Oryctolagus cuniculus: one gene and its partners. The protein of the gene in region 1 purifies or fractionates together with the protein of each later gene. This does not show direct contact. Links are inferred from orthologs where the notes say so. Each region holds a gene or a part of one and is shown in the gene's direction. Other genes may lie near its edges.

Region 1 (4,017 bases):
GGCAGCCGTATTTCCAGCTGCAGGGAATTAACCGTAATTGTTGAAGGTAATCATTAGGCTTGCTGCTTGGAGTTGGGAGCTGGCAACCGACAGAACAGGCAGGGGCCGTGGGTGCCCGGTGGGCTGGGAGACAGGGTGCAGGAGGACCCTCTTACCAGGATTTAACCAAGGGGAAGCTGACTTGGGGGAAAGAGCTCAGAGGTATCAGCTAAATGATACATCACTGACTGATGGGAAGTGAGGCTGTAACTTTGTATTAAGCCTGACGTTCGGTTGGCAAAAATGTAAAAAACTCTGTCATCTTTTTCTCAAAAAAAATTTTACCTTGGCAAATAAGTTGCTTTTCACTTAAAATGTTGTTTCCTATTACTACGGAATGAGTTTTAGTATTTTAGATGAATGAATACATTTTTTAAAATCCTGGTTTAGTTTCTAATATAGTAACTATCGATGAATGTAACTCACAAAAAGAGAAGTTCTTTGGTGTCCTCAATAATTATTAAAGTTGTAACGGCTCTCGAGGCTAAAATTTTAAAGATAATAAAGAATCAGGAGGATTAATTAGCTGTTCAGCTGCACTGTTGAATAAACGCATAGGGGCCCTCCCGCGTCGCACCTTTGGAGTCACCAGGAGACACAAACCTCACATCCTAAGGGCAAGGCCCTGCGTTCCTACCTCTTAGGGAGCGCCCGTGTCGGATGCCTGAAAACAGACTTCCGGGCCCGCCCTCCAGGTCCCGGCCCGGCCCGGCCCGCCCGCCGCGCGCCCCCTGCCGTCCGCGGTCGGCGTCGGCGCCTCTGTCCGCCCGCAGGGAGACGCCTGTCTCTTTAATTGGCATGTACCAAGTCCTCCCAGGTTACGCTTGCTCCCCGAGTGCCCGCCGTGAGGAATCATTGGTCGGAGGCCCAGCAGGAGGGGATGAGGAGACGGCGTTGGATTTCTTTGGGAGTCCTGGGCCGGTAGGGCGTGAGAGGGGGCCCGCGGGTGACCGCACCGTTGCGGCCCTCCCCGCCTCGCCCCGTAGTCCAGTCCCAAGATGGCGGCCACCATGAAGAAGGCGGTGAGTGGGGCGCCCGGGGACCGGGCGGCGGCCGGGGTCGGTCTCGGGGGCCGGGGCGCGGGATGCCGGCGGTGCGCAGCTCTGGGGGCCGGAGCGGTCCCGGGGCCGAGGCCACCAGCCGTCAGGGCGGTGCCGCTGCGGCGCCCGCCCGCGCCCCCGGCCCCGGGGCTTTGGGGGGTGCTCTGGGCCGCCTCTCGCCTCTCCCTTGGGGACTCCAGCGGTCCGGGTCTTGCCCCCGGCAGCGGCAAGCGACCGCCTATGGCAGCCGCGGGCCTGACGCCCAAGGTGGGCTTCACCTGGGTACCGCGGCAGCGCTGCCGGGGCCGGGGGCCGGGGGCCGGGGGCCGGGGGCCGGGGGCCGGGGAGGCACCTGTCCGAGCGCGCGGCCGGGCGGAGGCCGGAGCGGGCCCGGCGTCCGCGTACGGGCGGGTGGCTGCGCCCAGCCCCTGAGTCTCCCGACGGGGCCTCACCGCCGGCCGATTATCGTCCGAGCTCCCCCTCCTCGCTGATGGGGAACCGTAGACGGCGGCGGTTAGTGGCTCCCAAGTGACTCAGCTGCCGCGCAGGGCTGGAGCTCGGCATCTGATCCATTTCCCTCCTGGGCTCCTCTTCTGGGAGGTGCTTTGGATCCTTATTTGGCAAACGAGCAATCCGAAGCGCAGAGGCCAAACCAGGGATTAGGCATTGCAGCTGTGGCGTTCTTAACTGCGGCGGGGGTCTCTGCTGCGGACCCCCCGGTCTTGGGCGCGTTTGCCTTCGTCCTAGCCCTGGGACCACGTTAGGACGTCCTTTGCTCTCTGACTGCCCAGCACCGCACAGTCCATGTGGCCTGGGCCTGGGCCTGGTGTAGGAGGCGCCCAGCCGTCCCATTCTGCAGCTGGGGATGAAGGGCTCACCCTCCTGGCCTGCCCCTGCCCCCTCAGATGCTTACGGAGCACCTGAGAAGGGGCCCCAGAGCCAGGGAGATGGAGACAAGCGTGAAACGTGAAATTCACTTCACCTGTGCTTGGTGAAATTGGGCCCTTTGTTAAGTGCGGGCTTTCATTCCACGGGGGATACCAGCAGTGGTGCGGCCGGCGGAGGTGGGGTGTGGAATGCAGAGAGCAAGTGAGCATTTGAGAGAATGGTAAGAGGATGATCTGAACCCTGAGCGCAACATTTCTGGGACCACCCTTTTTATTTGTTCCCTGCGGTTTTTGAGCAGGGCACATAGCAGAGTCCGTTTTAAGGGACTGACAGTGATGAGCACTTGGAGTTTGCATCCCCATTGTATTGTTCGCTTGTTAGGCTCTTGGAGAGAAGCAGGCAGCACCGAGATTGTCCCTCAGAAAACTCGCTTCCACCTCCAGCGAGAACTGAGGGAAGCCGAGAGGAGGTGTCATTTGAAGCCGAGGTCTGAGATTACACAGGAGGAAGGGCAGAGGTGCAGAGCAAGTGAGGTTCAGAGAGGGGGAACCTTGTGCAGTTGGTAAAAGGAAGGCAGACAGGGTAGGGGGTGGGAAAACATGGTGAGGGACCGGCGGTGGCCAGTTCATGAAGGGTCTTGGGAGCTTGAGCTGTCTGTGTTTCCCTTTGAGTTTAGTAAAAAGTGTATCCTTTGCAACCTGGAGTGCTTTTCGCTGGCTACATGTTAGCTGCCTCCCACTAGTCATGGCTTCGCAGGTGAGAACCTTTAGTGGAGATGGCACAGTTCTCCCCCTTAAACGTCTGCTTCCTAAGCTTGCTTCCTGGCCGTAGGAGTCTCCTAGGTACGAATGTCCCCAGGCTCAGAAAGGCAGTCTTTGACCTCTCTCTAAAGAAGCTGCCTTCACTCCCCAGCTCCCCAAAACCTTCAGCCCCTAATAGAATGAATTTATTTTTACTGTCACATTTATCACTGTGTAATGTTCTCTTGTTCACCCTGTTTTTGTCTGCCTCTTCCACCATGAGGCTTGTCGGTGTTCAGGAAGGTAGGACTATGACTCCTGGCGCTTAGGAAATACTAAATAGTTGCTACATGAGTAGCTGTATGCATGAAAGGTGAACAAAACACAAAGCAAAAATTTATATCATATGGACTTGGTAGGCACCTTTCAGAAATAAAAATAAAAGCAGAATGAAATTAACCAGAATTTCTTTCTGAAATGCAGCTGTCAGTGCAATCTGGGTGACACCCATGGTTGATGAGGGGCGTGACTGAGTATGGCTCCATTTCCTCCTGAAATCCCATGAAATGCTAATTTCAGGAAAAGGGCATAGTCGGAGCCCAGGGAATTTTAATTTTCAGTTACAGAGAGATCTTTCATCAACTGGTTCCCTCTGCAACTGACCACAATGGCCAGAGCTGGGCCATTTTCTGCTGCTTTCCCAGGCACGTTGGCAGGGAGCTAACTGGAAGTGGAGCAGCGAGGACTTGAACCGGCACCTATGTCGGATGCTGGCTTAACCTGCCCTAACCCTTCACCTTGTATCTTGTCATATTTTTTTTAGGCCTAGCACAAGTCTAGGGGTGGACCTCTTGTTCCTTTGAAGTGATTTTTGGTTCGCAATATTGAGGAAAATAAGTGCTGACCTCTCATTTGTTGGTCCCAGGCCCTGGGTATTTTTTCACCCCAGCAAGGTGGGAACTGACTTCTCCATTTTAAAAACATGAAGTGATTCCAAAGAATTGAGTGATTTGCCCGAGGTTCCTATGCTTGGATTGGAACCTTTCTGACTGTGCCCCTGTGCGCCTCAGGTATCACAAAGTAACTTCCTCCTCCAAGAGCTCCTGCCTTCATGAGTGTGGTAACAAAGGTGGCTTCTCTTGAGGCAGGAGCCCCTAACCTGCTACTGTGGCTGCTTTGAGAATCTGAGTTCTGGAAAAACGCACTTCCTGCACACACTGTTGGGCACAGAGTCTCAGGGGGTGACCTGACCTCTCAGTGTCTGTGGACCCCAGTTAGGAACTGTCTGTGCCCAAAGGCAGTTCAGGAAA
Region 2 (3,867 bases), about 19 Mb from region 1:
CTTCATCTAGGCCTCCCACGTAGGTGTAGGGGCCCAAGCATTTGGGCCATCTTTTGCTGCTTTCCCAGACCATAGCAGAGAGCTGGATTGGAAGTGGAGCAGCCAAGTTTCTAACTGGCGCCCAAATAGGATGCAGGCATTGTGTCTGCCCACGTTTCTGATCTTTGCTGGTCCCGTTTCCTCCCTGGATGTCTACACTGTCACTTTGGTCTCTGCTCAAATGTCACATAATCAGAGACCTCGAACCACTTGGTATAAGCGTCCCTCCCCTAGCATCCCCAATTCTTTTTAAACTACTTGACTTTTCACACACCTTTGCTTATTCCCTCTGCACTCTAGCCTGAACACGACGAGTGCAGGCGCTTTGTCTTGTTCTGCTGTGTTCTCAGTGGTTAAGACAGTGCTGGAAGGTAGTAGGTACTCGGGAAGTGGTAAAGGAGTGACCGCTTGCTGTTTCAGAGGATGTGACGGTGTGCTTCGGGAGCATGTTTATCAAGATGCCGCACCCTCAGACCAAGGAGATGATTGAGAAAGGTAAGGAAGGCCTCCTCGGGGTGGGCCAGGGCCGTGGCGCTGTTCTTGGGGGACACATTCTTAACCCAGAACCGAGCTGGAGCCTGGGCAGCTGTGTTACAGTTCACACTGGTGTGGGCTTTAACCCCTGCCCTGCCCTGGGCCTGCTGTGTCGCACAGCACAGTGCCTGCTCATCAGAGAGGAACTCGTTGGGTTACAAGTAGCAGAAAACCCAACACATTGAGGCTTCAGGAAAATAAGGATTCGGGGTTTCACGCATGAGAGATGCCGCAGAGGAGGGCAGGTCAGGACCGGCACAGTTGCGCAGCGTCGGCACCTGAGCGTTTCCCGTGCGTCATTACAGACTGCGTGTCTTGCCAGGCTGGAGGAGAGGCTGGAGGTTCTCTACTGTGGCCTTTCTTTTTAGAAATAAAGCCATCCTTCCCAGGGGCTTACTGCCAATACCTTATTGCCCAGAACAAGTCCCATGGCACTCAGCTGCAGAAGACCCTGGGACCGTGAGCTTTTATTTTTCCTGTTCACTGCAGTAGAGACTGTTGAAATGGAGGTGTGGGGAGAGTGAACCTAGGAGTGAGGACCGTCCAGCCTTCAGGCACATTTTGGTCTGGCCCTGCCAAGGCAGCTGCAGGTGGGACTCGGAATTCAGTAAGTCTGTAGGAGGCTAATTAAGATTATTTCAAAGAGTTAGGTCTTCCATTCCACTGGTTTACTCCCCAGATGACCTCAAAGGCCAGAGCTGAGCTGAGACCAGGAGCTTCCTCAGGGTCTCCAACGTGGGCACAGGGGCCCAGGGAGTTGGGCCATCTTCTTTCACAGGCCATATCGGAGAGCTCGATCAGAAGAAGAACTGCCAGGACTTGAACCAGCGCCCATATGGGATGCTGGCACTGAAGGCTAGGCTAGGGCTTTTGTTTTTTTTTTGACAGGCAGAGTGGACAGTGAGAGAGAGAGAGAAAGGTCTTCCTTTGCTGTTGGTTCACCCTCCAATGGCCGCCGTGGTCGGTGCACTGAGGCCGGCGCACCGCACTGATCCGGAGCCAGGTGTTTTCTCCCATGCAGGTGCAGGGCCCAAGGACTTGGGCCATCCTCCACTGCACTCCCAGCCATAGCAGAGAGCTGGCCTGGAAGAGGAGCAACCGGGACAGAATCCGGCGCCCCTACCAGGACTAGAACCCGGTGTGCCGGCGCCGCAAGTGGAGGATTAGCCTATTGAGCCGCGGCGCCGGCCTGAAGGCTAGGGCTTTAACCCTCTGTGCCACAGTGAAGGCTGCTAGGAGGCTAATTTTTAAGTTGATTTTATAAGGCCCACGAATTATGTTTTATAAATATCCACATTACCCTAGACAGAAATAAAGGTTCCCACCCCTGCTGTGGGGTCTGCGAGTCTGGGCACTCAACATGTGCCACTCGAGTTTCTAAAGACCATTAGATCCTGGGAACTCTGGAAAAGTATCTTAAAAGCACGAACTTGGGCTGCAAACAGCTCCCTGGCTGGGAAAAGGGCAGGTCACTCCCACTGGGAGTCGGGGCCTGGCCTGTTTTGGGCAGGGCCTGGCCTTCCTCAGTGCTCTGGGAGCTGGCAGCCCCACTTGCAGGTCAGTCTGTCCAGTATGGCCTTACCGTCTGCCTGCCTCTTTCAGATCAGGACCATCTGGATAAAGAAATAGACAAACTGCGGAAACAACTTAAAGTGAAGGTCAACCGCCTCTTTGAGGCCCAAGGTATTGGCTGCGGGGCCGGGGTGGGAAGCCCCTCAGTGGTGGGCAGTGGCGGTACAGGCAGTGGCTGTCTGCAACCACCCAGAGACAGAGTGGGCTTAGTCAGGGGATCGAGGTCAGAGCTGAAACTTAGAGTAGATCGAGCACTCCAGATCAGTCACAGATCTGGCAAAAATCTGGAGCTCTCTGGGTGTGCAGTCTCATGACTTTGCAGGTTCGTGGTGACCCAGGAGCAGGTGCATTGCAGAATTTGAGGCCCATCCTGCCAGAACCCAAGGCCAACTTTGGCAGCATTTGTGCCGTGCTAGCCGCTTTCCTGGGCCTGTTGCCAGAGCCAGCAGTAGGGTGGACAGCAGGAGGCCCATGTGCTGATGGATTGCTTTCTCCCTGTAGGTAAACCGGAGCTGAAGGGCTTTAACCTGAACCCCCTCAACCCAGCTGAGCTTAAAGCTCTCAAGGTCATCTTGAAAGGATGAAGCTCAGGTACCACCGTGGGGGAACTAAGACTGGCGTCCCCCGAGTCACGCAGGAGCCAGGACTCCCTAACCTTGAAAGCTACAAGGACGGCTGTGCACTGGCAGCAGCAGGCAGCCCTCTGGGGCACCATGCGAAGGCTTCATAGTGCTGGGCTACTTGGTGATGGCAGGAGGGCACCTCAGCCCACCTGTGTCTGCTGGGCCTGACGTCTGTGGCTCGGAGGACACAGGACCTATTGACAGGCCCTGGCGGCTGCAGTGGGTGTGTGTGGGTGAGTGACTGCACCAGGCACTTCCTGACAATGGCCTGTTGTTCACATGGCGCCGGGCAGGAGAGGCAAAGCTGGATCCTTGGTCCAGCCCTCGTCTCAGGGGAGATGCCAGGCAGGCAGCATCCACGGTGGAACTGGAATAGAGCAGGTGGCTTCTGAATGAAGGACACTCAGTGCTTTGTGCAGCTCGGGGGGCGTGCGCACATGCGTCCCCTGCTGGCCCCAGGGCGTGGGTGCTGCTTAGACCCCTGTGGGGGAGGGGCGCCCCTTCATCACCACTTAGAGGCCTGGCTGCCTTCAGCATCTGGGCTCCTCATGGGCAAGAATGTCCTGCTTGTGGAGGACTCAATAAACAGTAGTAAAACAGTCGGTTTCTAGCGCTTTCTCACTCGGTCCTCCATGGAGTGCGCACCAGTCCTTTGAGAACCCCACATGGGGGCAGCTGTTGAAGCATCAGGTAGGAGACTAACATCCCATGGCCAAGTGCCTGGGTTCCAGACTCTGCCGCCAATCCCAGCCTCCTGGCTGATGTGTACTTTGGGAGGGAGCAATGATGGTGCAGATGCCTGGGCCCATGCACAAGGGAGACGCGCACAGGTGGATTTCCAGGCTCCCGGGATCAGGCAGCAGGGACTCACAGCTGACAACGTGCAGAGGGCACACTTTGCCCGTTCCCCTTGTTCCACGGCCTGACTGACTGTGGTAAGGACAGCCTGGTAGGACCAGATCAAGTATTTTTCAAGAGCTAGAAATCTGGGTTGCTGAGTCTCCCGATTCAGAAAAACATGTAAAAACGTGGGTGTTTGTCGAAACACCTTACAGGAGAGGCCTGTAGAAGTGACGCATTCCTCACGATAACCCTCTGA
Region 3 (4,042 bases), on another chromosome or scaffold:
GGTCCCCACCCAGTGGCTCAGATAGGCGTAGCGTCTCTGCAGGGTCCCGTGCAACGAAGTCAAATGCCTCAGGCAGGAAAGCAAGGCAAGCACCCAGTCTGGCAGCCTCTCGAACCAGCTCAGCACACGTTTTAAAGTTCTGTTGCTTGTCTGGTGTTGATGTTACCTGGCACACAGCCACCAGGGGCAGTTCCCAGGAGGAAGAGGAGTTAGCCATGGCTCTGGACCTGTGAATGCCACAGGCAGGATTGTCAGATTTCCTAGCATGGGGAAACCCAAGTTTAATAAGCGGCTCAAATGAGCAGGCAGGGAAGGCTGGACTTCGTTTTGACTCTGCTCTTACAGTCCACGGTGATCCAGGGTTCACAGATCCAGTGTTCTTTGGATGGTTGATACCTGAGTCCCACCATCCATTTAACAAACACTGAGCATCTACTATATGGCAGGCACCAAGGACACAACAAAATATGTTACCTGGGCAGAGCACAAAGTACTGAGGGTCGAGGTGTCCGGAGTCCAGGGCACAGAAAGGACAGGAGCTGGTGAGGAGGCCTGCTGATGAAGCCCAGCCTGAGGAAGATGAGAAATCAGGACACCTAACCCTGCCCTCAGAGAAGACATTTCTAGGATTCTGTCTTCACCTTCACACTGTGAAGCTCAAACAGGGCCCTTCCATTAAAAACTAACACCCCAGTCCTTAAAACACTCTCCACTGCAAGTTCTATGGGCGACGGGGGAAGCTCAAAGGTGGAGGGTGGGGGAAGGGGCTGGCTCCGTGCCTGACTGGCTCAGCTCCCAGAGATCTCACATTAAGCTGAAGCCCTTTGGTCTGCCAAGCGTTTCCTCAGTTCAGAAGTCATCTCGGGGAAACTTCCTTGGTTTTTCTAAGCCTCTCTTCTTGGCTGCGCACTTGCACAGCTTTAGTAATTCAAAGCATATTTCCCTCCCCACAGCGGCATCTCTTAAGAGAAGCATACCCTCCCTCGTAGCCCACCACCCCGAAGTGGGGAGAGGGCACAAGGAACCCAGATCTCAACCCGCGCCCCCTCCCCGCTCGAGTTAGCCCATCTTTCCCGCCTCTCCCAGGGGCAGCATCTCTGTTGCATAGGTAAAAGCACCCTAGGTGGGATTCACCGCGGCCGGCGACTTAGGGAGTAGGTCCTACATGAAGATACAGCCAAAACCATTCGCAGGGTCGGATCCGTAGAGCTGCCTGGAGTCAGCGGCGCCGCGGCGAGGGGGCGGTAACTCCCAGCCCGGATGTGACGCAAGGCGGGGCGGGACTGAGCCGCTCAGGCCGGAAACCCAGCAGGCGGCGAAGATGGCGGAGAACAGCGGTCGCGCCGGCAAGAGCAGCGGGAGCGGCGCTGGGAAGGGGGTGGTGTCGGCCGAGCAGGTGAGGAGCTAAGAGCGCGAAGGGGGGTCCCCGGCTGTGTCTGGAGCCGATACGTCTCAAAAAGGGGTGGCGGTGGCTGTGGCTAGTGCAGGCCTGTACTGCAGCCCCACATTTGCGAGGCCACCTAGAGAGGGGAGGGTCCTTGGAGAATCTGGCGGAGCCCCCGGGGAAGACTGTAGGCGGGTGGGTAGGTGAGGGCCACGCCCCTCGGGGGTGTTGGGTGAGCCTGAGGGTGGGGTTGGGGGAGGGAAAGCCCAGAGAGGCAGGGTGTGGGAAGATACACACAGGTCTGAGGGGAGATGAGACGTCGCTTTGCGCACCCCTCCTCGGGAGCCCCAAGCGGGATAGGGCTGGGCATGGCAGCTGGTCTAGAATCCCACGGAATGAGTAAGCGGGCTGCTTGTGTAGACCGTTACGTGACCCTGAAACTGCGTTGATGATCGCCGTCACCCTGCAGAGCCACGTGACTCACATACTCGAACCGTCCGAGTGTTCTACACTGTTTTGATTCGGGAGTCATTACCAGATTGAATTTCTCTGGAGAACAGAAACCCTTCTCTGATCTGAATTTGCTCCCCGCCCCGTGCCTAACATCGGAAGCGTTTGATAAATTGATCAGAAAGCCTTTTGAAACTAGGGAACAGTGGCTTGCTAATAATGGGGCTAATCAGAGTGGGAAGAAAGCTACACAGAAATTACAGCAGTTAAAAGCTATTTTCATTCTAGGTTCGTTTATGAGTTTTCCACAGTTAATGCCCGCAGCAGTTTCTACATAAGGATTTAAAAATTGTCCCTTGCCATCAAAGAGCGGGGTTTGGTGAGGTAAATAGGACATACAAAATGCTACTGTGAGGCAGAAGATGTATCCTAAGAGATGTACAGTGGCATGGGGTTTGCAGGCAGGTGGAAAAATTGGTTTCAGACTTAAGAGGAGAAGGGGGGAAGGGAGAAGAAACCTGATATGTTTTCAGGGTCTGCCCTGTGCTAGGCATTTTCTGGGTACAGGGAAACAGATAAATAGAGCTTGCCTTCAAGTGATTGACACTCATTTGAGAAAAGGCAAAGGTTTATAATGTACTCTCCTTTTTTTTTTTTTTTTTTTTTTTTTTTTTGATGGCCCAGGGAAGAGACCCCTAAACTAATCCAGAGGGTATGGGATTTAGGGGTGGGGTGGTGGCTAAGAGCATTTTTTTTTTTTTTTTTTTTTTTTTTGACAGGCAGAGTGGACAGTGAGAGAGAGAGACAGAGAGAAAGGTCTTCCTTTGCCGTTGGTTCAAGAGCATTCTTAAACACTGGAGTCAGACAGATCTGGGTTTACTATTTATGTATGACCTCCTTTGAGTTACTCAGCCTTCTCAGTCTGTAAAAAACATAGTAGTAACTAGCTGATCACTGTATTGAGAGTATTAGGTAAGGCAATGCATATAAAGTATTTTTGCACAGTGACTAGAATGCAGTATGTTTAATAATTTCTGGTTAGCTCTTCGAATTTTATGTTTATTCTGAGGCACAGAGACAGAGCTCCCATTTGCTGTTTCACTACCAAAATGCTCACAGCAGGCCTAGCTGGCACTGGGGCTGAAGGTAGGAATCAGGAACTCAGTACAGGACTGCCATGTGGGTGGCAGGGACTCAGCCACTTGAGCCCTCATCTACTGCTTCCCAGGATGCTCTTTTTTTTTTTTTTTAATTTGACAGATAGAGTTAGACAGTGAGAGAGAAAGACAGAGAGAAAGGTCTTCTTTCTGTTGGTTCACCCCTCAAATGGCTGGTACGGCAGGAGCTACACTGATCCAAAGCCAGGAGTTAGGTGCTTCCTCCTGGTCTCCCACGCAGGTGCAGGAACCCAAGCACTTGGGCCATCCTCCAGTGCCTTCCTGGGCCACAGCAGAGAGCTGGACTGGAAGAGGAGCAGCTGGGACTAGAACCTGGTGCCCATATGGGATGCCGGCGCTGCGGGTGAAGGATTAACCAAGTGAGCCACGGTGCTGGCCCTTCCTAGGATGCTCTTTAGCAGGAAGCTGGACACTGGAGCTGAGCCTGGACTAGAACCCAGGCACTGTGATGGGAGATGCAGGCATTCCAAGTGGCATATTAACTGCTAGGCTGAATGCCTAGCCCAGCTTTTTTCGGTTTGTTGTGGTTATTATTTTTTTTACTTACTTTTTAATTTGAAAGAAGGATCTCCCATCCACTGGTTCACTCTCCATATGTCATAACAGCTGGGTCTGGGCCAGGCTGAAGCAGGAGCCCTGAACTTGGGTCTCCCACATGAGCAGCAGGGACCATTACCTGCTGCCTCCCACAGTGCGTGTTAGGAGCCAGTACTTAAGCAGTGTCTTAACCTCTGTGCCAAACACTTGCCTCACAGCTTTTGTTTTTTTATTCTCTTAGGAGAAAATTCTTTAGCTCAGCTCCAAGGAATGAGAGAAGTTAGTCAAGCAAAGATGGAAGTGCAAGATTTTCAGGGTGTGGAGAATAATGTGTTCAAAAGCACTAAGACATGAAACTGCCTTGTATGTTTGGGATGCAGAGGGACTTAAAGTTTGAGGTGAATTCCAAGACTTTGAATGTGAAGAAAAAGGTATAAAAGAAGAATATAGGCTGTTTCTCAGGTTTCTGCTGTGTTGGATAATGGTACTACAG
Region 4 (4,222 bases), on another chromosome or scaffold:
GAGAAAGGTCTTCCTTTGCCGCTGGTTCACTCTCCAATGGCCGCCATGGCCGGTGCGCTGCGGCCAGCGCACCGTGCTGATCTGAAGGCAGGAGCCAGGTACTTCTGGTCTCCCATGGGGTGCAGGGCCCAAGGACTTGGGCCATCCTCCACTGCACTCCCTGGCCACAGCAGAGAGCTGGCCTGGAAGAGAGGCAACTGGGACAGAATCCGGCGCCCCGACCGGGACTAGAACCCATTGTGCCGGCGCCACTAGGCGGAGGATTAGCCTAGTGAGCCGCGGCGCTGGTCCCTTTCTTTCTTTCTTTTTTTTTTTTTTAAAGAATTATTATTTTTTAATTTGAAAGACAGAGTTACAGAGAGAGGTAGAGCCAGAGAGGTCTTCCATGTGCTGGTTCACTCCGGAAATGACCGCAACGGCCAGAGCTGAGCAAATCTGAAGCCAGGAGCCGGGAGCCTCCCCTGGGTCTCCACACGGGTGCAGGGGCCCAAGGAGTTAAGCCATCTTCTACTGCTTTCCCAGGCCACAGCAGAAAGGTGGATCACAAGTGGAGCAGCCGGGACTCAAACCCAATTGCCTGTTTCAAATGCTAGGTCCTTTTATAGCAGAGGTTCTCCAAATGTGTTCTGTAGACAACTTTTGCGCCACCAGGTCATGGGGAGTTAGGATAATTGCAAATTTTTAAGCCCTCAAAGATTCTGAATAAGCTTGGAATGAGACCTAAGAATCTATATTATTTAACATTTATTACTATTATTTGAAAGAGAGAGAGAGAGAGAGAGAGAGAGAGAGGGAGAGAGAGAAATCTTGATTCCTTCCACTGATTCATTCTACAAAAGTCCTCAAGTGCCAGGATTGGCCAGAACAAAGCTGGCCAATTCAGGTCTGCCATATGGGTGGCAGGAACCCTATTACTCGATCCATTACTAAGGCCTTTCAGGGTGTTCATTAGCAGGAAACCAGAATTGGAAGCCTAATCAGGATTCAAACCCATACACTCCAGTATGAGATGCTGATGTCTTAGCCACTGTACTAAACATTTTTCCAAAAATTTTTCCAAAAATCAAACATATCACCTCCCTCGAGAATCTCTAATCTAGAAAGTCTTTGGGAGCATTCAGTAGAAATGAGTTCTTTGGTGGAAAACCCAAGCCTTCTAATAGTCTTCTCCATATGGTTAGGCCTGAGGTCTGGGGTCCCTTCTTACTCATCTCTGACAGCACAGGACGAGCTGTAGGACTGAATAACTGATGAGGGTTTGACCTGATCCACGCACTTCTCAATTGAGTAGAAAAACTATCAAACTGTTCAAAGCCACAAGCGAAATCTACACGTTGGGCTGTGTCTGGAAGATGTGGAGGAACAAGCCAGACCTGATAGGTCAGCAAGGGAAGACAAATTGAATCGGAATCTTGAATATTTAGAGTAACCCGCTCCGCAACAGGGAAACAAACCCGATTAGCGGCACGCAGGCGCAGGCGCATTAGGAGGGCGACCCATCAAAACGCAGCCCTTCCCCCACCCCTTTCCGGCCTTCTTCCAATGCGCAGGCGCAGAGGGGTGCATCAAGATGGCGGCCCCCGTGGATCTGGAGTTGAAGAAGGTAAAAGAGGGTCTTGAGCAGGCAGAGGCTTCTCTTTGGAGGCCGAAGGGACTGTGGACAGGAATATCGAGTGAGGCTTGAATGTTTGCGGGAGCAAAGAGGCGCTGGAGGACTGGGGAATGTTTTCCCGGAGGCCTGAGGCGCCGCGGGGCCTCCTTGAGCCGAGTGGGCAGCTAGCGGCTCTTGCTGGGTGGGAGCTAGTTGAGCCGGGCCGGGTCCGAGTGCGAGCTTACCCGTTTGTTCTGAGCCCCAGAGCTATTTCGTTGCGTTTGGAGCCTTCAGGGGCTCAGTTTCATGGTAAGAACAGAAGACAACGTCTTAAAACCTCTTTGGTGCGGTTGCCTGGGGCTGAGGCGTGTGTAATTCTGCCTCATTTAATTCGGGAGAAAAAACCCAACACCTGTTTTAAAGCCATTTATTCCCATCCTGTACCTTGAAAAGCCGCAGGAAGGCATTGTCCCCTCTCCTCCTCCCCTCCTTTTGCGAAGGGCTTGTCTAAAAAAAGGAGCAGCAGAGTTTGCCAAATAAAAGCATTTTGAGAAGGAATTGCGTTTCTTCTGTTCAAACAATTGCTTATAAATGTTTGGTACCGGAGAGCAGTCAGGATTCTAACTCCACTGCCGACTCAAAACGTGTGCTTTGGGGGGCGAGGGCGGATTGGAAAGGACCCTGGACTGCATAGGATTTAAATCTACTTTTCTAGAAAGGGAAACAACTCTAGAGAAGTCTCAAAGAGTGGAATTAGAATACCATGTTCTCTTACAGGTTTTTTTGACCAGTAGTTTAAGTTCTTCATGGAAAACATCTGAACAGTCTTTGCATTAGAAATAGGGCAGCTGAAATAGCTCTTATTAAATGAAGCTGTTACTGTTTTAAAGGTGTTTGCGTCTCGTTTCTTCTGCTGCTCTTGTCTTGAAACTTGTAAGTTGCTTTTACATGCTGTTCTCTAATATCTTGGCTATATCTTCCTCCATAAACTGTATAGAACAGTCAGAAAATACCTGAAATTTTACATTTCAGAATAAAATTGTGTTTTCTGAAAAATTTACCCTTTTTTCCATTAAAAGTGTAAACTTAAACCAAGTTTTATTTATTTATTTATTTATTTTTGACAGGCAGAGTGGACAGTGAGAGAGAGACAGAGAGAAAGGTCTTCCTTTGCCGTTGGTTCACCCTCCAATGGCCGCTGCGGCCGGCGCACCGCGCTGATCCGGTGGCAGGAGCCAGGAGCCAGATGCTTTTCCTGGTCTCCCATGGGGTGCAGGGCCCAAGCACCTGGGCCATCCTCCACTGCACTCCCTGGCCACAGCAGAGAGCTGGCCTGGAAGAGGGGCAACCGGGACAGAATCCGGCGCCCCAACTGGGACTAGAACCTTGTGTGCCAGCGCCGCTAGGCGGAGGATTAGCCTAGTGAGCCGCTGCGCTGGCCTTAAACCAAGATTTTTTAAAAAATATTTTTTTTGAGAGGAAGAATTACAGAAGGTGAGAGGGAGTGATAGAGAGAGGCCTTCCATCCACTGGTTCACTCCGTAAGTGGCCGCAACTGAACCCATCCAAAGCCAGGAGCCAGGAGCTAGGAGCTTATTCCAGGTCTCCTGCGTGGGTACAGGGGCCCAAGGACTTGGGCCATCTTCTGCTGCTTTCCCAGGACATAGCAGAGAGTTGGATTGAAAGAGGAGCAGCTGGGACTAGAACCGGTGCTGCAGAAACCAAGATTTTGATGAAGAACTATCAAAAGTATTAACTGTGAAAGGGCTTGCTTCCCAGTACTCTTTGAATTTATTGATAAGAAACAAGTAAACAATTAATACAAACTAAGAAAAAAATTATAGGCCGGCGCCATGGCTCACTAGGCTAATCCTCTGCCTGCGGCGCTGGCACCACGGGTTCTAGTCCCGGTTGGGGTGCCGGATTCTGTCCCGGTTGCCCCTCTTCCAGGCCAGCTCTCTGCTGTGGCCCGGGAGTGCAGTGGAGGATGGCCCTAGTGCTTAGGCCCTGCACCCGCATGGGAGACCAGGAGGAAGCACCTGGTTCCTGGCTTTGGATCGGCACAGCACACCGGCCACAGCGGCCATTTGGGGGGTGAACCCACGGAAGGAAGGCCTTTCTCTCTGTCTCTCTCACTTTCTAACTCTGCCTGTCAAAAAAAAAAAAAAATTATAGACAAGTTGAATAATTTTGACAACCAATTAACAAGGAAACGTATATCAGTTTTTTTTTTTTTTCTTTTTTAAAGATTTATTTATTTGAAAGGGAGGGAGAGGCAGAAGCAGAGAGAGAATCCATTGATTGATTCCCTAGATGTCTGCAATGGTGGAGCTGGGCCAGGCCAAAGCCAGGAGTTTCTTCCTGGTCTCCCATGTTGGTGCAGGGGCCCAACGACTTGAGCCATCCTCCACTGCCTTCTCAGGCACCCTAGCTAGCAGGAAGCTGGATCAGAAGTGGAACAGCCAGAATTCGATGGCATTGCTGCAGGCTCAACCTTCAGTGCCCTAGCATTGGCTCCGTGTATCAGTTTTATTTCCTAATGTCTTCATAAGCTATTTTTTTGAGTGGTATTTAATAGGAAATATAGACATCTCTTCTTCCCCAAAGTAAATCTTCTGAAACTTTGCTAGA
Region 5 (3,052 bases), on another chromosome or scaffold:
TCTTTGCTGTGTCTTCCCCATCCTCCCCTTCCAGGAACCTGGAAGAGCGTCCATACTGCAGTAAAGCTCCCTCTATGAAGTGGGCACACCAACATAAAACGAGGCAGGGAAATCCCGCGAGACGAGGGCCGGCAGGGCCAGGTCGGGGTCCACTCACCCAGGCTCCTCAGCAAGCAGCAACTCTGAGCGGGCAGCTTGGACGCTGGTTTCCTCTTCCTCAGCTTCAGCTGCCTCAAGTCTGCTGCGCGTCTTGGACTTGGAAGGCGGCAGCTACAACAGCGTTGGGAGTGGAGGAGGAGGAGGAGGAGGAGCGGAGGGAGAACACGGAGAATCACAGCAGAGCCACCGGGCCCCACCTCCATCCTTCTCACCCAGGCGCTCCCAGCCTCCAGTCCTTCCCCACCGTCCAGCGATTCTCACCTTTTTAGATTTGTCAATGCGACGGAACTTCCGGGCTGCCTCCACCGGGACGGGGGCGGGGCCCGGGAAGGGGTCCTGGGCCTGGGGCAGAGAGGAGGCAGTCAGCTCACAGCTTCGGGCTGACCCCCCAACCCTTTCACTCGCAAAGCACAGAGAAACCTGCCCCCGCCACCCTGCCGCGGTGCAGGCTCACCCCAGACAAGCTCCGCTGGGGCTCCGGCTTCTTCGGCCCTCGAGACTTCCTCGCGACCAGGGTCTTCTTGGAGATGCGCGACTTCTTTGTGACCTGAGTGTTCTTTGGTCTCTGGGGCCGGAGCTCCCGGTTCCGCTTCTTCTTAGGAGGCGGGCCTGGAGAGGCGCCGGTGGCGCTCGGAGTGGTGTCCACTTCCCAGTATCGCCGCGGTTTCTACGGGCAGATCAGGAGCCCTGGAACTCCGCGGCCCACGTCCCGCCCCCGAACCCCACAGCTAAAACCTCCCTGCCCGTCCAGAGAAGCCTGTACCTTCCTCTTGGCCTGAGGTTTGTCCTTCTTGGGTGGGGCATCCTGACTGGCCTTTGGGACTGTCTCCATCTCGCCCACTGGAACAACGATCCACGTGCAAATCTCTCAGCTGTCCCACAGTCGGCTTAGACTCTCCCGGAAGTCCTCTGTTCCGCCTCAGCCAATCAGCATCGTTCCAGGGCTGAAGTCTTGAGCACGCCATCTTGAGTGAGGGCACACTCTCCTTTAAGGGGCGGGGCGTGCTGTGGCATCTCCCTCGGGCGCCGCAGCTTATACCCGAGGAATGGGGAAAAAAAGTCAAGTCCGGGCCAGAAACCAGTAACAGAATAGTCTTTTTCCGGATTAACTTCTCTGTCTTGCCTAAAACCTTCTGAGTCCAGTCATTTCAGCCGAATGCCGCTTATTAAAAATGTTAGAACTACATTTCCCGACATGCAACCTGGAGGCAACTTCCGGATTGATTTTCCCAGCATTCCATGTTTACTTCCGGGTTGATTAATACAGAAGGGAGAACGTGAGTAGGTTAGGGTACCGTTTCAGGGGTTTTGCGTTTCTTTTCGTCCTGCACCCACTGGGGTCGGGTCGATTCGACTTCCCGGACAGGGAGAGGCCGCGGTGCCCCGAAGGACTGCCTCTCAAGAGGACTGTCATTTCCGTCGGCCCGACCAGAAAGGGGAGCTCGACCCCAGCGCCCCTCTCCCGTTCCCGCAGGCTTTCATCCCCGCCATGGCCGAGCTGATCCAGAAGAAGCTGCAGGGAGAAGTGGAGAAGTATCAACAGCTACAGAAGGGTAAGGGACCGGGTGGGCGTAGTCTCGCCGCAGCCCGCAGACTAGCCGAAACGAGCTCTCCGCCCCAGCCGGCCCGCTCCTTCCCCGCCTGTATACTCGCCCCTTCTTCCCGGTCTGCTTCCTCACATCCGCCTTCTGGGCCAGGACTGTGGGAGCCCGTGGCACTCTTGGTGTCCCACTCACGTCTCCCTTCCTCCCTAGACTTGAGTAAATCCATGTCAGGGAGGCAGAAGCTTGAAGCCCAACTAACGGAAAACAACATCGTGAAGGAGGTGAGGGGCCGGGAGTTGTGGGGGCGGAGCAGCCTGGACCGGCTGCGGTTCTGATCAGACCCGTCCCGCTCGCCCACCAGGAACTGGCTCTGCTGGACGGGTCCAACGTGGTCTTTAAACTGCTGGGGCCGGTGCTGGTTAAGCAGGAGCTGGGGGAGGCGCGGGCCACGGTGGGGAAGAGGCTGGACTACATCACAGCTGAAATGTGAGTTTTTGTCCCACTGCCCTGGCTGTCGGCCGGCGGGTGCTGGGGACCTGAGTGGATTGCCCTTCGGAGCAGCCCACGGAAGCCTCCCCTTTTAACGCGGCCTGCCCCTCCCCCTAGCAAGTCCCTCTAACTTCTCCCTGTCTTCTCTGGCCCCTGGCCTCTCCTCAGTAAGCGATACGAATCCCAGCTCCGGGACCTGGAACGGCAGTCAGAGCAGCAGAGGGAGACCCTGGCCCAGCTGCAGCAGGAGTTCCAGCGGGCCCAGGCGGCCAAGGCAGGGGCTCCCGGGAAGGCCTGACCTCGGGGCGGGGCGGGGTGGGATGGGCCACTCTAAGTACCTAATAAAATGTAAACACCTGGCTCTGTTGTCCTGCTTGTCTGTTCCCCCGGCCTCCATCACCTGACCCACACACCACACACCACTGTTACTCCCTCAAGCCCACATTCCAGCACCTGCAGTCTCTGGAACTAAACTCTAAAATGTCTCAAAGCTGCTCCTCACCTGTACTCGTATGTACAGCCCTTAATTCTCCGTTATTTTCCTAAGACACGGCCTTTTAGGAAACACAAGGACATTTACAACCTAAGCATATTGTTGGGAGTGTCGTTTAAATTGAAGAACTCAGAATTCTCTGAGAACCCAGGATGAAATGTGACTCCTCCCCTTGCTGTGAATACAAGTGCTCCGTAGGGCTCATGGGAAAATGGAAATAAAAGGTTGGGTTACAGCAGGTGGGGGCTTTTGACTCTGCTTCTCAATAAAAATATTTCCATGCAAGACATTTTGAATCATGCATTTTCCATGTACTCTTTGAAGACCCATCACATGCATGACTCCAAAGCTTCTGTACCAAAATAAC
Region 6 (4,087 bases), about 49 Mb from region 1:
CTGGCTGCTCCACTTCCGATCCAGCTCTCTGCTATGGCCTGGGAAAGCAGAAGATGGCCCAAGTCCTTGGGCCCCTGCACCCATTGGAAAACCTGGAAGAAGCTCCTGGCTTTGGATCCACACAGCTCCAGCTGTTGCAGCCATTTTGGGAGTGAACCAGATGGAAGACCTTTCTCTGTGTCTCTACCTCTCAAATAGGTCTTTAAAAAAAAAAAAAAGTTTTAATTTATTTGAAAGAGGAGAGCGAGAGATCTCATCTGCTGGTTTGCTCCCCAAGTGACCACAATGGCCAGGGCTGGCCAGGCCAAAACTAGGAGCTTAATCTGGGTCTCCCACACAGGGGCCCGAGGACTCAGGCTATCTTCCCATCTCCCACTGCTTTCCCAGGCACATTAGCAGGGAGCTGGATCAGAAGTGGAGCAGCCGGAACTCAAACTAGCACCCATTTGGGATGCTGTCATAGTAGGCGGCTGCCTAACCTGCTATGCCACATTTGCCCTAGCAGCTCAGGTGGGTGTATCCCACCTTGGAGTGCCTGGATTCAATTCCCATCAGGAATTCCGGGCATCCTAGGAAACAACACATAGACCTTGGCCTCCCAGAACACACACCCACATGTAAGCCAGAACCCCAGGAAATAACCCATGTAGGTTCTGGGCTCCAAGGAAACAAGATGTGTTCATAGCACAGCACCTGGTTTGAGTCCCAGCTACTCTACATTTCCAATGCAGCTTCCTGAAGGCAGCAGATGATAACTGAAGTACTTGGGCCCAGCACCCAATGCGGCCGACCAGGATGGCGTTCCAGGCTCCGTCTAGCTAGCGCAGGTAACACATGCTACGGAGTGACACCTTGTGCTATGCTTGTTGGCTGACTGTGGCTTTTTTTTTTTTTTTTTTCAATTTTTCACAGTTCACAAAACATTTATTGTGTGACGTTCAGACTGCGGCTTTTTAATCCTCTCCACTTCCAGACTCTCCCCTGCGTCTGCTCCAAGCAGCATTTTCATGATGCTCCTCTGCGACAAGGGACAAGGGGCCCGACCAGCTGCCCCCCACCACGCACACAGCTGTCGGTCACTAGATTTACACGCTGCCTTACAGGATTGTGGCTGTGTCCTGAGCACTTCAGGATTTTCAACTTCCTGGAGGACAGGCATCATGGCTTGCTACAACTTTATTGGACTAGGCTTAGACTATCCCGTGACTCTCAACACAAGGTGCACCTGAGCGGCTCCAGCGCCTCCCTCCCTTGCGGGTCATAGAGACGTCCGGCGCAGCGAGGCCGCCGGGCACGGCCATAGAGACGCGCAGGAGACGGCTAGAGCGTCGCTCACGCGGCCGGCTTCCTCTCGGCTACTCCTCCGTCCCAACATGGCGCAGTCGATCAACATCACGGAGCTGAACCTGCCGCAGCTAGAAATGCTCAAGAACCAGCTGGATCAGGTGGGGATGGAGCCCGAGCAACACCTTTCGCGCGCTCCACATCCCGTCGGCCACACGCAGCCTCTCGCCCCCCACCCCGTTCCTTTCCAGTTTGAGCCGTTTCCCTTCCCCGGCTCCCAGGGTCCGCCCCTCTCGGGCCCCGGGTCCTCAGCCGGCCCCGCTTTCCCGTCCCGTGTAGGAGGTGGAGTTCTTGTCCACGTCCATCGCCCAGCTCAAGGTGGTACAGACCAAGTACGTGGAAGCCAAGGACTGTCTGAACGTGCTGAACAAGAGCAACGAGGGTATGCGGCGTAGGAGCGGGCAACGCGGGGACCGCGGCGGCGAGAGGACCGGGCGCTGCGCGCTGAGCGCCGCTGCACGCGCCCTGTGCATGCTGCCGGGCTCTGAACTCCCTTTACGGCTGCCAGCCTGCCCACGCTGTTTGTCTTCATTGCTTTCACAGGGAAAGAACTGCTCGTCCCACTGACAAGTTCCGTATCCTTTCCACTGGGATTGCTACCGCGCCGCCTCCCGGGGGCGGGGCGGACACCGTAGAACTCCCCCTTGATTTTTTTTTTTAATTTGAAAGGCAGAGTTAGAGAGAGGCAGAGAGAGAGTGGCCTTCCATCCGTTGGTTAATTGCCCAATTGGCCGCAATGGCCAGTGCTGTGCCGATCCGAAGCCAGGAGCTTCTTCCGGGTCTCCCACACGGGTGCAGGGGCCCAAGGACTTTGGCCATCTTCCACTGCTTTCCCAGGCCACAGCAGAGAGCTGGATTGGAAGTGGAGCAGCCGGGACTCAAACCTGCGCCCACATGGGAAGCGGCACTGCAGGCAGCGGCTTTACTGGCTACCCCCTCCCCCCAGTGATTTTGAGAGGGCTCTTGTTGTACACACTTCGTAGCCTCAGGTCGACATCCAGCTCATGCCTTCTGAGTGCCAAGGGATATGGTATGTAGAGTTGTGGTCTCCCCCCCATGCTGTTAGAGGCCATGAATATGAAGAAAAAGCTGATCTTCTTTTGCTAGTATTAAACAGGGAGGTTGGCTCTGTTCATTAACCCTAAATTTCACTTTCCCCGTGGCCCATTCCTCAGCTGCTGGAAGGAGCCTGGGTTAGGCTCACCTGCTGGGGGTTGACCTGGAATGAGCAGGTTCTGGCAGTGGCGAACCTGCGGTGCGTAGCTGGCGTTTGGGAAAGGGCACAGGAACGGCGGTGTAGCAGTGAATGGGCATGAGCCACTTCGTGATGGGGGACGATGAGGGGACATGAAGCTGGCTCTTCACGGGGTCCACTCCAGGCAGGGGGAGACCATCACCAAATCCAGTCTTTGCCGAGGAGTCCTTGGGAGGAGTTACAACAATCGCTTGGAGGGCGGGAGATGGAGTCGGGGCTAGAGTTCCAGCACAAGCCAGCTTTCTCCAAAAGGAGCCAGCATCTTTGCGGCTGCCTTTTGGGGGCTTCAGGCATACTTCTTTTCTTTTCTTCTTTTCTTTTCTTTTCTTTTCTTTTCTTTTCTTTTTTCTTTCTTTCTTCTTTCTTTTCTTTCTTTCTTTCTTTCTTTCTTTTTTTTTTTTTTTTTGACAGAGTTAGAGAGACAAAGGTCTTCCTTTTTCCGATGGGTCATCCCCCAAATGGCCGCTATGGCCGGCACACTGCGCCGATCCGAAGCCAGGAGCTGGGTACTTCCTCCCGGTCTCCCATGCGGGTGCAGGGCCCAATCACTTGGGCCATCCTCCACTGCCTTCCCGGGCCACAGCAGAGAGCTGGCCTGGAAGAGGAGCAACCGGGACAGAATCCAGTGCCCCAACCGGGACTAGAACCTGGGGTGCCGGCGCTGCAGGCGGAGGATTAGCCTAGTGGGCTGTAGCACTGGCTTTCAGGCATATTTCTAAGGCCTCCAGATTACTCAGTCCTTACCCCTTGTGGTTTGTTTTAAAAAAAAGACGGTCAGGGCCAGCACTGTGGTGCAACAAATTAACCCACGGCCTGCAGCACCCGCCTTTGTTGGTTCAAGTCCTGGCTGCTCCACTTCTTTAGAAAAAAAAAAAAAAAGACATTTATTTATTTGAGAGGCAGAGTTACAGACAGAGGGAGTGAGAGACAGAGACTGGAAAGCCCTTCCATCCACTGGTTCACTCCACAATGGCTGCAACAGCCAGAGCAGCGCCAACCTGAAGCCAGGAGCTTCTTCCAGGTCTCCCACGTGGGTACAGGGGCCCAAGCACTTGGGCCATCCTCTACTGCTTTCCCAGACCACAGTAGAGAGCTGGATTGGAAGAGGAGCAGCTGAGACTTGAACCAGCACCCATATGGATGCTGGCTCTGCAGGTGGAGGCTTAGCCCCACTACACCACAGCGCCAGTCCTGGCCAACTTCTGATCCAGCTCCCTGCTGATGCGCCTGGGTAAGCAGCAGCAGATGGCCCAAGTGTTTGGGCCCCTGCAGACCCAGAAGAAGCTCCAGCCGGCTAGTTGCGGCCACTTGAGGAGTGAATAGATCTCTCTCTGTAACTCTGCCTTTCAAATAAATTAATTAAAAAAGAAAGAAAGAAGCCGTAGGAGGCCAAGCAGCTGGCCCACAGGGACTCGGGGCTCATGCTGGGCTGGTTCCCCTTAACCCTTGCCTCGCAGATGTACGTCCCTGGCAAGCTGCACGACGTGG

What was found.
Region 2: the proteins of PFDN4 (region 1) and PDRG1 purify together in Homo sapiens (co-immunoprecipitation; 3 studies listed by BioGRID and IntAct, counting the BioPlex papers as one, with this or other methods). This does not show direct contact. The link is inferred for Oryctolagus cuniculus from reciprocal best matches to the Homo sapiens genes PFDN4 and PDRG1.
Region 3: the proteins of PFDN4 (region 1) and PFDN2 purify together in Homo sapiens (affinity purification with mass spectrometry; 6 studies listed by BioGRID and IntAct, counting the BioPlex papers as one, with this or other methods). This does not show direct contact. The link is inferred for Oryctolagus cuniculus from reciprocal best matches to the Homo sapiens genes PFDN4 and PFDN2.
Region 4: the proteins of PFDN4 (region 1) and PFDN1 purify together in Homo sapiens (affinity purification with mass spectrometry; 5 studies listed by BioGRID and IntAct, counting the BioPlex papers as one, with this or other methods). This does not show direct contact. The link is inferred for Oryctolagus cuniculus from reciprocal best matches to the Homo sapiens genes PFDN4 and PFDN1.
Region 5: the proteins of PFDN4 (region 1) and PFDN6 purify together in Homo sapiens (affinity purification with mass spectrometry; 6 studies listed by BioGRID and IntAct, counting the BioPlex papers as one, with this or other methods). This does not show direct contact. The link is inferred for Oryctolagus cuniculus from reciprocal best matches to the Homo sapiens genes PFDN4 and PFDN6.
Region 6: the proteins of PFDN4 (region 1) and PFDN5 purify together in Homo sapiens (affinity purification with mass spectrometry; 5 studies listed by BioGRID and IntAct, counting the BioPlex papers as one, with this or other methods). This does not show direct contact. The link is inferred for Oryctolagus cuniculus from reciprocal best matches to the Homo sapiens genes PFDN4 and PFDN5.

The regions. Positions count from the first base shown.
Region 1 is NC_091442.1:7,288,885-7,292,901, reverse strand, and holds the start of PFDN4 (prefoldin subunit 4), read left to right. Parts: upstream 1-1,217; 5' UTR 1,218-1,319; coding exon 1,320-1,346; intron 1,347-1,727; exon of another isoform or gene 1,728-2,184; coding exon of another isoform or gene 2,185-2,187; intron 2,188-4,017. UniProt on the Homo sapiens protein: Binds specifically to cytosolic chaperonin (c-CPN) and transfers target proteins to it. Binds to nascent polypeptide chain and promotes folding in an environment in which there are many competing pathways for nonnative proteins.
Region 2 is NC_091442.1:25,807,318-25,811,184, forward strand, and holds the end of PDRG1 (p53 and DNA damage-regulated protein 1), read left to right. Parts: intron 1-459; coding exon 460-534; intron 535-2,175; coding exon 2,176-2,256; intron 2,257-2,646; coding exon 2,647-2,729; 3' UTR 2,730-3,367; downstream 3,368-3,867. UniProt on the Homo sapiens protein: May play a role in chaperone-mediated protein folding.
Region 3 is NC_091438.1:37,686,125-37,690,166, forward strand, and holds the start of PFDN2 (prefoldin subunit 2), read left to right. Parts: upstream 1-1,242; 5' UTR 1,243-1,321; coding exon 1,322-1,396; intron 1,397-4,042. Other genes in the region: NIT1 (deaminated glutathione amidase), read right to left, coding at 1-227, 475-570, 1,135-1,187. UniProt on the Homo sapiens protein: Binds specifically to cytosolic chaperonin (c-CPN) and transfers target proteins to it. Binds to nascent polypeptide chain and promotes folding in an environment in which there are many competing pathways for nonnative proteins.
Region 4 is NC_091437.1:27,961,788-27,966,009, reverse strand, and holds the start of PFDN1 (prefoldin subunit 1), read left to right. Parts: upstream 1-1,422; 5' UTR 1,423-1,570; coding exon 1,571-1,603; intron 1,604-4,222. UniProt on the Homo sapiens protein: Binds specifically to cytosolic chaperonin (c-CPN) and transfers target proteins to it. Binds to nascent polypeptide chain and promotes folding in an environment in which there are many competing pathways for nonnative proteins.
Region 5 is NC_091436.1:135,834,645-135,837,696, reverse strand, and holds PFDN6 (prefoldin subunit 6), read left to right. Parts: upstream 1-1,390; 5' UTR 1,391-1,648; coding exon 1,649-1,712; intron 1,713-1,913; coding exon 1,914-1,984; intron 1,985-2,064; coding exon 2,065-2,189; intron 2,190-2,360; coding exon 2,361-2,490; 3' UTR 2,491-2,552; downstream 2,553-3,052. Other genes in the region: WDR46 (WD repeat-containing protein 46), read right to left, coding at 1-38, 158-270, 421-501, 614-826, 923-991. UniProt on the Homo sapiens protein: Binds specifically to cytosolic chaperonin (c-CPN) and transfers target proteins to it. Binds to nascent polypeptide chain and promotes folding in an environment in which there are many competing pathways for nonnative proteins.
Region 6 is NC_091442.1:56,307,226-56,311,312, forward strand, and holds the start of PFDN5 (prefoldin subunit 5), read left to right. Parts: upstream 1-1,287; 5' UTR 1,288-1,373; coding exon 1,374-1,445; intron 1,446-1,623; coding exon 1,624-1,726; intron 1,727-1,887; coding exon 1,888-1,919; intron 1,920-4,056; coding exon 4,057-4,087. UniProt on the Homo sapiens protein: Binds specifically to cytosolic chaperonin (c-CPN) and transfers target proteins to it. Binds to nascent polypeptide chain and promotes folding in an environment in which there are many competing pathways for nonnative proteins.